3 linked regions of the Macaca fascicularis genome follow. The protein of the gene in region 2 interacts with the protein of the main gene of each other region in a biochemical or structural test. Links are inferred from orthologs where the notes say so. Each region holds a gene or a part of one and is shown on either strand. Other genes may lie near its edges. The genes, in order: CSN2, HTRA2 and LATS1.

Region 1 (3,751 bases), on a different chromosome or scaffold from region 2:
AGTCAGACAACCTGGGTCCAAATGATATCTTTGCCATTAACAATATAGTTTTGAGCAAGTTACTTAATCTTTTGGCATCTCTGTTTTCTCAACCTAAGTATGGAGAGGAGAGCTACCTCATGATGTTCTTGTGAAGATTATACAAGATAACGTCTTTGCTTAGTGCTTGGCAAAGGGTTAGAACTAAGTAAAAAATAACCATCATTAATATTATCATAATTATGCTTGACATGAAAAGAGATAATCAATATTAAAAGGTAAATAAAACTCTGTGATACTTTGCAAAATTTTTATTACAGATTTACTGAAGATTTTGCCTTTACTAGCCACCCAGATTCCTTCTTTGAGTTGTTTCATTACAGAGGAAAGTTTATTTATCTTGTGTATAAAATATTTGTTTTAACTAAATAATTTATATATTTTTTCCAAATCAAGTGGCCCTGGGAGAAAAACAGTTTGCCTCAAATAACAGTTTGCCATCACGGACTTGTTATCTTGTCAGTTTTTCATTTCAACATAAAGCACTGACAACTGCTCAGGTTCACATGAAACTGTGGCCTTTGTGAAGCCCTGTGTATCTCTAGCGTTCACACACAATTTTCCCACAACTGAAATCTCAAGGCCCCACTAAGCCCTAAAGAGATCTAATTATGTCCATAATAACTTGGGGACAGGGCCAGAGGGTCACTGTCCTCCAGTCATTGTCTGTTGTTATTGAACAGTTGCATTTCCTGGACAGGTTTCCTTTATCAACTTGTGAATTGTTCCCTTGTTACAATGATCCCCAGAATTTGTGGGGACATATAATAGGCAGAAATCATTTTCTAATCATGTGGACTTCTTGGAATTAAAGCTCACTGTTGATCTTATTTCAAACCACAAAATTAGCATGTCGTTAAATATTGTATATAAACAGCCACAGAAGCTGATAGACCATCATCTGTCCAGCACTACCTTCACTTCTCTTCAATCTTGGAAAAACGGTAAGAATTTTAGATACGGATTTGTTGTATCTTCTCCTAACCACGTATTTCAAAGTAGCTTGAGCTATAGAAAAAACATAGTTGCTTAAAATATAGTGTTTGAAATAAAAGTATTTAAGGTAGTACTGAAATTATTTTTAACACTTAGGCTAAAAAAGATAGAAGTGCCCAGAAGAATTTGGTAAAAAAATTGCAATGACGTATAGCCTTCACGAGTTTAAGAAAATGTAATAACTAATTTTATGCATATGTATATTTAGTATGAGGCTAGTTCATAGTTAATATTAAAAGGAGATTCATTTTTGAATTAATCTTCCAATTTGATTTAGCATATCACAGCCATAAAAAGAAATATACTTAGATTACAGTGTGGGTAGATAAATAATTACTGGAAAAGCTTTATCCAACAGGTAGTTTACAGCAGTAGCATACTGAGTCAAGAAATAGAGGGAATGGTTTGAGGGCATTTACTACTTTAAATATTTATAAACAATGTTTTCAGAAGAGTTTACTCATCAAACTTGTCTAGAGCCTCAAATTTCCCAGTTTATTATCTACTTTGTAACATTTCAGAACAATATTAAAATGAGACAGAAATACAGAATTAAGTTAAAAAGAAACAATGTGATTTACTTTGTAAGAAAATTCTTAATGGGGTAGAGAAGACTTGGAAACCATAAACAAAGATAATAGATGATATAAAAGAAAATAGCTCAGAGCGTACCAGTCGATAAAGAAACTCTGACTTAAAAATTAGTATATAGTATATTTATAGTATATAAATTAGTATAAAAATTAGTATAATTGGTATTAGTATATATTAGTATATTTGTATATAAAATTAGTATAGTAATTATATATTAGCATATAAAATTAGTATATATTAGTCGATTAGTAATAAAATTAGTAAAGTTTATAAGCAGATTACTTATAAAATATAGAAAATGCTGTGGGATCCTCCCTAAGTGCAATTATATACAAAATAGAGTGCTATATTCTTTTTCTGAACCCCGACATAAAAAATTTGGAAACTTATGGAGGTCTTAGGCAAAGCAAAATTAATAAAAAAATATTTAACATTCATAAAAAATCTAGAAAAAAATTTATTTTCCATAATAGAGAGAATTATGTTCAACTTTCAAATATTGAAAAGAACATTTTTCAAATAAATTAGAGACTTTTTTCATGAAGTATTTTTAGTTCAAAAATTGAGTTTCAAAATCTGAAAATGAAGATTTGAGTGTCAAGTAATATTGTGGCATAAACATTATTTTGGAATTAAAAAAATGTAAGAACACATAACAAGGAGATGATTTCGTATATTTTGGTCATAAATGTTAACATATATTTCACAAGAAGAGGTAGTCCCAAGCTGGACAGTGGGCAAGAGGTCCTGACTCCTTGGCAGATCATCAAGAGACCTTTGTGTACATTTTAATACAGAGAAGAGAAGAAGCCTAGTGTATAATCTCTAAAGTCATGGGGCATAAAGGAGAACAGATATTATTAGCTATGTGGGGAAGATGGATATAAACAGAGAAGAAACAAACTTTATAGTCCAACAATTCTCTGGATAGTGACACAAATAAGGAAAGTGTTAAAATGAAAATCTCAGTCTTATTGGAAATGAGGAGAAATAATTAAACTAAAATATTCATGGTAACCGTTTAGTGAAAATAAAAATATAAAAATAAAATGTGACTTTTTTGTACACATTTTCTTGATTAGTCTCTTCCAGTAGAACTGAGGCTCCATCAGGGAGTAATATCAGGACTGTAATATTTTGCTCATTGCTGCAGTCCTGGTCCCTAGACAGTGTCTGGCAAGAACAGATTCTAAGGAAATATTTTTATATTAATGAATAAATCTTTCCATATATATTTATAACTTCTTTATGCCTTTTGAAAAATCAATACTGCAAATGGGACGTTTTTAAAAGTGGGGATGAGTTGTTAGCTGAAATATCTGAATAGTTGGCAATGAAGTTTGGAATTTGATAAATGAGAATAGCAAGCCAGAATAGATTTTGACCTGAGTCATATGATATAACTTCTATTTAGTATTTATTCTATTTATTTTCTAAAATGTAGACATTTTTGTCATACATTATCTCTCTTTTTTATAAAAAGTAACCTTACCTAACTAAATAAGAAATATATCCAATTAACCAATCTATCACTATTCAATTTTTTCTCCATTCACAGGACTTAGTAGCCATGAAGGTCATCATTCTTGCCTGCCTGGTGGCTCTTGCTCTTGCAAGGGAGGTATGTGCACAAGAAAAAATTCATAAAAATCAAGAAATAGTGGACTATATGCCTATTTGTAGAGAATAACATCACCAACATTTTTTACTGTATAATAAAGAAGAATTTCATGAAAATTATCTTGACTTCTATCAAAATCATTTATATTTACCCACTGTCTCAACAGTTTCCTATAGTGCTCCAAATGCTTCCGACACCAATGTGCTGCTAGTCACTAAAGAAAAAGCAAACAAATCAATAAGTAATAAAAAATCATAAAAATGGCAACAAATACATGCATAAATAACTCCACAGATGCTCAACCTAGATAAACATATCTTATTCCAGTCATAAAATGTATATATATCTTATAGCCTAGGGCACTGGGTCCAAGTCTGTCTATACAAAGGCATCCATAGGATGAAGTACAGACACAATCATAATCCTAATCATACATTCATAATAATATAGTAAAAATATTTAATACAAATTAAAGTGACTCAACCATCAAAAACTGTCTTT
Region 2 (3,751 bases):
CCATGCTGAACATCAGGAAAGCTTGGTTCTCGAAGCTGTAGTTCAGCAAGGATGCTGAAAGTACACAGATCACCCTATTAGCCAAACCCAGGCATTCTCCCCATCCTGAGTTCCACCTCAAGTCTCTCATCAACACATTGGCAAATAGATGGACAGGACATGCGCTAGGTACTACAAAATACAACGGCAACTCACTTTCTGTCTTCTAGCAATAAAGTGCAACATGTACATAAAAGATGTACACCACATGAGGGCACCAAATGACAAACAGTATGAAATCAATAGCACTAATGTCATTCTAGAGTACTAAAAGAAGCTTTAAGGGGAAAAAACTTAAGCTGAGCCTAAAAGGATGGGTCCAATATTAACCATATAAAACAAGAACAGCATAAATAAAAAACATGGGAGTAGGAAATCAGGTTGGCTGAGTATTCATATAGGAAGGTATTACAGCCAGGTCTAGAAAGTTGATTTACAGACAGATGGAAAATGCCCTTAAATGCCAAGTTAATGGATTGAAGGCTTGAAATCAAAGCAGTAACAGGATGAAATCAGTCTGACAGGTGTACAAAGTGGAGTGGAATAAGAAAGTCAAGATGATGAAGGGAGACAGCTCTTGTGATTATTTCAAGTGTGACACAGTTCATTTTAGATAAAGACAGAAATGAGAACAAAGCTCAATAGAGGTGCCCACCTCTGATTACACTGGTCACATTACATGTCACTATCCCTAAAGCTCATACCTGGGACTCAGGGTCAGCATCATCACCCCAATGTAGCGCCGCTGGGACCCACTGATTCCAGAGGAGGAATCTGTGACAGAGGGACAAATAAGCCCCACCCAGCTACATCCTTCCTTCCCTGCCCTCTTCTCCCAATAGACCACCCTCCAGGAAGTCCCAATGAATGCCCCTCCCGTATTTCCCCATAAGCCAGGCTCACTCTTCTTTTCCCCACGATGCAGAAACTCTCGAAGGCGATCAGAAGGGATGGCAAAGGAGATTCCAGCTGTGACCTTCATGGTGTTCACTCCAATCACCTCTCCATCCTGCAGGGATACATCCCCCAGTTCCCTAGCCCAAACAAATAGTAGGGGATGGGGGCACCCGAACAAAAGTAGCAGCAAGTGTTGGGGAGATCCAGTTGGATGTTGAGAGATAGCCAACAAAGAACTGCTCAGAAACTTGACCAAACATCCTTGAATTAGGGAAAACCTACCCTTCCCACACAGACCTGGGGCTGGGATTCTTGGAAGGAAGGATGTCTCACTCACCAGGTTAACCAGGGGACCTCCAGAGTTCCCAAACTGCAGGACAAGGAGAAAACATGAAAGAGATCTGAGGATTCTAAGTCTGGGGGCATACCAGGATGTAGGTACTTTCTCCAAATTCTCTTCTTTCTCAGCCCATGAATGAGTGGCCACATTTTTGCAGCCTAAGCTCTGTATATAGGCTCATCCACCATATATCAGTTGGTGCTTGTACCACACAGCCTCTCCCCACTCCCCCATCATGTGTCATTTCTCTCCTATCAGGACGCACATCAATAGCTGCATCCGTCTGAATGTATTCCACATTGGTTTGGGGGAGTCCCAGGTCTCTGGCTGGACGCTGAGCAGAGCTAACAATGCCGGATGTGATCGTGTTCTGCAGTGCAAAGGGACTTCCCATGGCAACAACAAACTCCCCTTGCCGGACATCAGCTGAGCGTCCCAGAGGCAGCGTGGGGAGAGGCTCCTAAGGGAGAATGGGTATAAGAGACCTGTCATCTGGAGATGCGAGCAAACAAGCAGCTCCAACCAGACCTGGCCTACCCCAGCCCCCACCTTAGTCTGAATCCTCAGCGTTGCGATGTCTGCCACGGGATCCACAGCTGTGACCACGGCCTCATACGTGTCGCCGCTAAGCAGTCTCACACGGACTCTGCGCCGATCAGCCACCACATGGGCGTTGGTGACAATGAGCCCATCGGCAGCCACCACGAATCCTGAGCCGTTCGAGATAGGGACTTCACGGCCCAAGAAAGGGTGCCTGGAATGGAGGGAAAGCACGGATATGAGGAGGCCCTGACCCCTCCTACCTGCCCGCCCTCCGGCCCGTGGCTTCAGTGCCTCCCGGTCTACCCCCATTACCGGTCCAGGATCTCGATATAGACCACGGCAGGTGCTGTCTTCTCCACCACATCTGCGATGAAGTTGTACTGACTCCGGGGAGAAGCGGGCGGCGGGCCAGGGACGGCGGCGAGGACGGCCGGAGGACCCCGACCCCCGCCCCACAACAACAACAGCACTGCCCCCCCAGCGCCCAGTGCCACAGCCAGCCACGCGCGCGAACGGGTTCCAGAGTTCTCTGAGGCCTCCCGGGTCCTGGTATCTGGGGTCACCGCAGTCAGTTGTGCCCGGGGACCCGGGGTCCCAGACGTCAGACATGCTCGGGGTTCAGGGACCCCAACACACAACCGGGCCCAGAGACTGGGGGTCCCATAAGTCACTCGGGCCCGGGGGTCAGAAGTTCCTGACGTCAGCAGGGCCCGGAGGTCAGGGGTCAACCGGGGTCTCCTCCCCCAGCGAATGCCCCCCAAAGCCCGCCATGCCCGAAGGCTCCAGCCTGCACCCCGCCCCGCCCTCGGCGCAGCCATCAGCTCCGCCTCGGCTGCCTCCTCGCCCGCCCTACTCAGAGGCGGCACCCGGGACGCGAGCAGGCGGACAGTAGGACGCGGGGCACGCCGGTACCTGAAGTCCTCCAGAAGTGCACGTCGGGACCAGGATTCCGGGAGGCCGACTCCTCCCCGTCCCGCGAATGCCGGGAATTGTGGTCTCCGTGGGACGCGAGTTGTGAGACGGCCCAAGGGGCCGCAGGGTATGCTGGGACCGCTAGCCCTTCCGGCGCGCCTCAAGACTTCGGGTCCTGTCACCCCGGGCGGATGCCCAAAGACTCCGCCTTCCCAGGAGCCCCTGCGGCCGGGCGCGAAGATGGCGGCGGCGACGGCTGGGCGCTCCTGAAGCAGCAGTTATGGAGCTTCCCTCAGGGCCGGGGCCGGAGCGGCTCTTTGACTCGCACCGGTAAGAGACCCGGCGGGAAGAGACCTACCCCTGCGTCCTCTCGGCCTTCGGCGCCCGACCACTTCGCCTCTCGCCCCCAGGCTCCCGGGTGACTGCTTCCTGCTGCTCGCGCTGCTGCTCTACGCGCCGGTCGGGTTCTGCCTCCTCGTCCTGCGCCTCTTTCTCGGGATTCACGTCTTCCTGGTCAGCTGCGCGCTGCCAGACAGCGTCCTTCGCAGGTTCTGACGCGGGCGTTTGGGGAGTGTCAAAGCTGGGCCTGGCCCGAGGCCACACAGTCACCACCGCCTGTGTCCCCAGGTTCGTAGTGCGGACCATGTGTGCGGTGCTGGGGCTCGTGGCCCGGCAGGAGGACTCCGGACTCCGGGATCACAGTGTCAGGGTCCTCATTTCCAACCACGTGACACCTTTCGACCACAACATAGTCAATTTGCTCACCACCTGTAGCACCGTGAGTGAGAGCGAGGCCGAGAGCGCCACGGGGCGGTTCCCTGGGGCCCAGCTGAAGGCCCCCCTGTCCCACTCGCGTTCCCCATGGAGGATACTGAGCCTTACCCCTAACCCCGATCCTCTACCCCACATGTCATTTTTTTTCATTTTCCTCAATTTTTTTCTTCTTGCTTTCTCTTCTCCTGGTTCCCAGCCTCTACTTAATAGTCCCCCCAGCTTTGTGTGCTGGTCTCGGGGCTTCAT
Region 3 (3,751 bases), on a different chromosome or scaffold from region 2:
ACCCACCTTGGGTCACATTGTCTACCTTATACAAACTCTGTGCTTGTAGAAAATAGGCTTTCAACCAAATATTCTTGGAACATAATCTTTTTTTTTTTTTTTTTTTTTTTTTTTGAGACGGAGTCTCACTCTGTTGCCCAGGCTGGAGTGCAGTGGCGCAATTTCGGCTCACTGCAAACTCCACCTCCTGGGTTCACGCCATTCTCCTGCCTCAGCCTCCCAAGTAGTTGGGACTACAGGCGCCCGCCACCACGCCCGGCTAATTTTTTTATTTTTAGTAGAGACGGGGTTTCACCGTGTTAGCCAGGATGGTCTCGATCTGCTGACCTTGTGATCCACCCGCCTTGGCCTCCCAAAGTGCTGGGATTACAGGCGTGAGCCACCGCGCCCGGCCGGAACATATTTTACCAGGTTTTCACATTTGGATTTCTGGATACAGTAAGTAGCCAGTTACTACTTTAACGTCAGAAAAAGATGTCTTTAATTTTTTTATAGTCTGTAGTAGAAAACTTACGAAAGAAGGTACTTAAAAACGCCAGCTGTATATTTCCTAGAGGAAAAACTGGCAAGGGCGCTCTTCACAAAGGGTAGACGGTACTTTATACATCAAACCCAACGATCCGGTCTCACACTTTACATTCAGTTTAACCATAAGTAAAACCTCTTGTCACACCGTCACCGTTACTCCAATTATGGCAATAACGACCTCCTTCTACGGATGCGGTTGACAGATAAGATCTCTAAACTGCTGCTAATCAATCGGTCCTGGCTCAAGAATTTCTTATCTGCCTGATTCAGAAAATACAGATGGTGGAAGCTCACAGGCTTGTTCGGGGAAAGAACGCTAAGCAAGAATAAAATTTTATTTCAAAGCGCCAAAAATCTCGAATTCTGAGGTCCCACAGCAAGGTTTCCCAGAGCGACTCACAGTTGTTCCCTTGTGAGAACGTAGCTCCGTGAAATGCGCATCCCTACTCGGTCCAGAGAAATAGATCAATGGGAAAAAGGATTGAATCAACAGGAGAGAGCCTTAACCCACGGCCGCGGGTGAGTCGTCTGGGCAGGGGCAGGCGGGAGCAAAGTGGGGCGACGCTCACGAACGATCAGAGCGGCGGGCGACGCAACGAGGCCCGGAGGCCGCTGGCTGTGCGCTCCCTCGCAGCAGCCGGGCGGGCAGAAGCCCCCAGTCCTCGGCCCCCGCGCAAGCGACGCCGGGAAATGCCCACATCCGGGAAACCTGCAGCGGAGTGCGGCGGCGGCGACACTGAGTGGAAGGCAAAATGGCGGCGGCGGCAGTGTCCTGGTGTTAAGGGGAGAGCCAGGTCCTCGCGACCCCCGCGACGGGTCGCGCTGGCCCGCGGCAGCCGGCCCGCTCCTCTCCCCGCTCTGCCCCACCAGGGATACTTGGGGTTGCTGGGACGGGCTCCGGCCGCCTCGGCGTCCGCCCTCAGGCCCGTGGCTGCTGTCCAGGAGCTCTGCTCTCCCCTCCAGGTAGGTCCCGGGCCGGCGTAGCGGGTGCTCTCCTCCCTTGCTCGAGTTGGCGGGGCGGTGGCCGCCGGGGCCCACGCCCATCCCCGCTGGCGAGGGTCCAGAGGTTGCTGTGGACTGGCGGACAGAGCCGGCCCGCTCCGGGCCTGACTTGGCTGGTTGCATTGACCCGAGCTGAGCCCTGCCCTGGGGAAGCGAGGGTTGGCCGCGCCCGGTGCTGCAGGAAGAGCCCCAGGCTTTTCGGCCTCGAAGGTGCAGGTTTGGCTGGGTAGAGCCTGTCTTGCTGGCTGCCTTGCGCCGACGGTCTCCCACCCCACCCCCAACACGCTAGTCGGCGGTGTCCAGGAGGGAAGGAACGGGAAAGGTGGTTCTGAAGGAAAATTGCAGTAAAAGGGCTACAGTTCTTTGAATCCTAGAGGGCCGTGATCCTGGGTATACCTTGGAGAAATCCTTGGAGTCTCTTCTGTCTAGTTCAGTGTGATTTTAGGTTACTGTTCTTAGTTGAAAGTGGTGGGAAAGATGGAGAAGTCTTTATGGAGTAGCAGTGTGTATATAAATACAGCAAATGAAAGAACGACAATTAAGGGAACAGTGACTCTCAGATGACTTGATTTATCACTGTTCTGACTTCTCTGTCAATTTCTAAGGGAACAAAATTTAATGTTTGCCAACTCATATGTTAATACGACTTTTAAAACATGTCCTCCAGAAGTTATTCATAAATCTAGTGAACAATAAGTATAATCTCATGCACAGAAGTATATTGTATAACTCCAGTTTTGGAAATGGATTTGAATGTTAGCGATCATGAAACTTGTCAGACCTTTATGAATTATTTATTGAAGGTTAAAATTTTTTATCAAATTTCCTCCATGAGGAAGAAAAGCTAGGACATTATAATTGGAATGAATGTTCTCTGCTACGAAAACGAAGCTTATCTCTGACGGTAAAGTAGGGTAGTTGATTCCCTAAGGCAGTGGAGGAATTTGATTGAACAGTAAAAGAAGTAGCACTGTGTTAGTCCAGTTGGCTGCTACTGCAAGAAACTAGATCATGGTCCATGCTTGGAATGGTGCATTCTGTGCCTAAATATTGATTAAATATGTCTTGCTGCTCACCAAAAAATACTTCTACTACATTTTTAATGTATAATATCTGGCTTTCATTGTATGGGTCGTTTTTATTTTTGTTTTGTTTTTATTGCAAGTCCTTGTTGTTCTGTGTAAATAGTCTTTGGAACGGTTCTAACCCTGGTTGTTTAGTTATTTTAGATGTTTTATTTATATTAATGGGAGATTGTTATACATCACAAAAGTTAATTAGTCATTGAATAACATTTTCGCCAAGTAGAAACAGCAATCATTTTTCAGCATGAAGATACAGTGTTGCTTTCACTTTTGATCTGACAATTATTAGAAAGTGAACTGAAGAAAATATCAGTATGCAGTTTCCTTTAAAGATGGGAACTCGCTATCTTGCCTGTGCTGGATTCCAACTCCTGGGCTCCAGCAATCCTCCACCACAGCCTCTCAAGTAGCTGGGACTACAGGTGCACTACTGCACCCAGCCAGGGTACTTTTCTGATAAACTTAATTCAACCCAAGTTAACACTTTGAAATCTTATGTAATGGTACCATTTTTTTCCCCTAAGTTGGACAAACTAATCAGTGATACTTGTTTGTTGATGTTTGTATTTTTGATGAGGGTCTGAACTTTTTTTTAAAAAAAATGGCGATTTGTCATACCCAGGCAGTTTGATTCCAGAGCTCTTACTTTAACCATGAGGTTAAAAGTCATTGAAAGTTATGGAGTAGGTAGGTGACATGATCAGAATTGTTTATTAAGATGAATCTGGCCCCATTGTAGTGTGGGTTAAAAAGGTGAACAGTTTTGCTTTGAATAATTATTTTAAAAATTCTCTTTGCCTAGTAATAATTTGAATTTTCACATGACATAGCAGCAAAGATTATTGAGATTTAGTAATGCCAGTATTAACCATACCTTGTTGTGGGGATTATAAAATTAGTATAACTTTCTAGAAGGCAGTCTGACAATAAATATTAGAATTTTAAATAAGTATTCTCTTTGATCCAGCAATTCCACTTCTGGGAATTTATTTTAAGGAAAATGCTCAGCAATGTGTGCACAAGAATTTTTATTGCAGCAATTTTTTTTTTTGTTCACAATTTTTGTTATGTGCAAGGAATAGGCTATATATATTATATATATGTTCATTTTATTAAACTATGAAGCATAATAAAAT

What was found.
Region 1: of the proteins of HTRA2 (region 2) and CSN2, one has a biochemical effect on the other in vitro, tested with the Homo sapiens proteins (2 studies listed by BioGRID). The link is inferred for Macaca fascicularis from reciprocal best matches to the Homo sapiens genes HTRA2 and CSN2.
Region 3: the proteins of HTRA2 (region 2) and LATS1 form a complex in vitro, tested with the Homo sapiens proteins (2 studies listed by BioGRID, with this or other methods). The link is inferred for Macaca fascicularis from reciprocal best matches to the Homo sapiens genes HTRA2 and LATS1.

The regions. Positions count from the first base shown.
Region 1 is NC_088379.1:63,990,477-63,994,227, forward strand, and holds the start of CSN2 (beta-casein), read left to right. Parts: upstream 1-935; 5' UTR 936-983; intron 984-3,187; 5' UTR 3,188-3,199; coding exon 3,200-3,250; intron 3,251-3,751. UniProt on the Homo sapiens protein: Important role in determination of the surface properties of the casein micelles.
Region 2 is NC_088387.1:47,414,578-47,418,328, forward strand, and holds the start of HTRA2 (serine protease HTRA2, mitochondrial), read right to left. Parts: upstream 2,681-3,751; 5' UTR 2,638-2,680; coding exon 2,132-2,637; intron 2,031-2,131; coding exon 1,826-2,030; intron 1,737-1,825; coding exon 1,542-1,736; intron 1,307-1,541; coding exon 1,274-1,306; intron 1,049-1,273; coding exon 943-1,048; intron 814-942; coding exon 744-813; intron 55-743; coding exon 1-54. Other genes in the region: lipid droplet-regulating VLDL assembly factor AUP1, read left to right, coding at 3,012-3,061, 3,142-3,279, 3,359-3,751.
Region 3 is NC_088378.1:57,703,358-57,707,108, reverse strand, and holds the start of LATS1 (serine/threonine-protein kinase LATS1), read left to right. Parts: upstream 1-1,260; 5' UTR 1,261-1,491; intron 1,492-3,751. UniProt on the Homo sapiens protein: Negative regulator of YAP1 in the Hippo signaling pathway that plays a pivotal role in organ size control and tumor suppression by restricting proliferation and promoting apoptosis.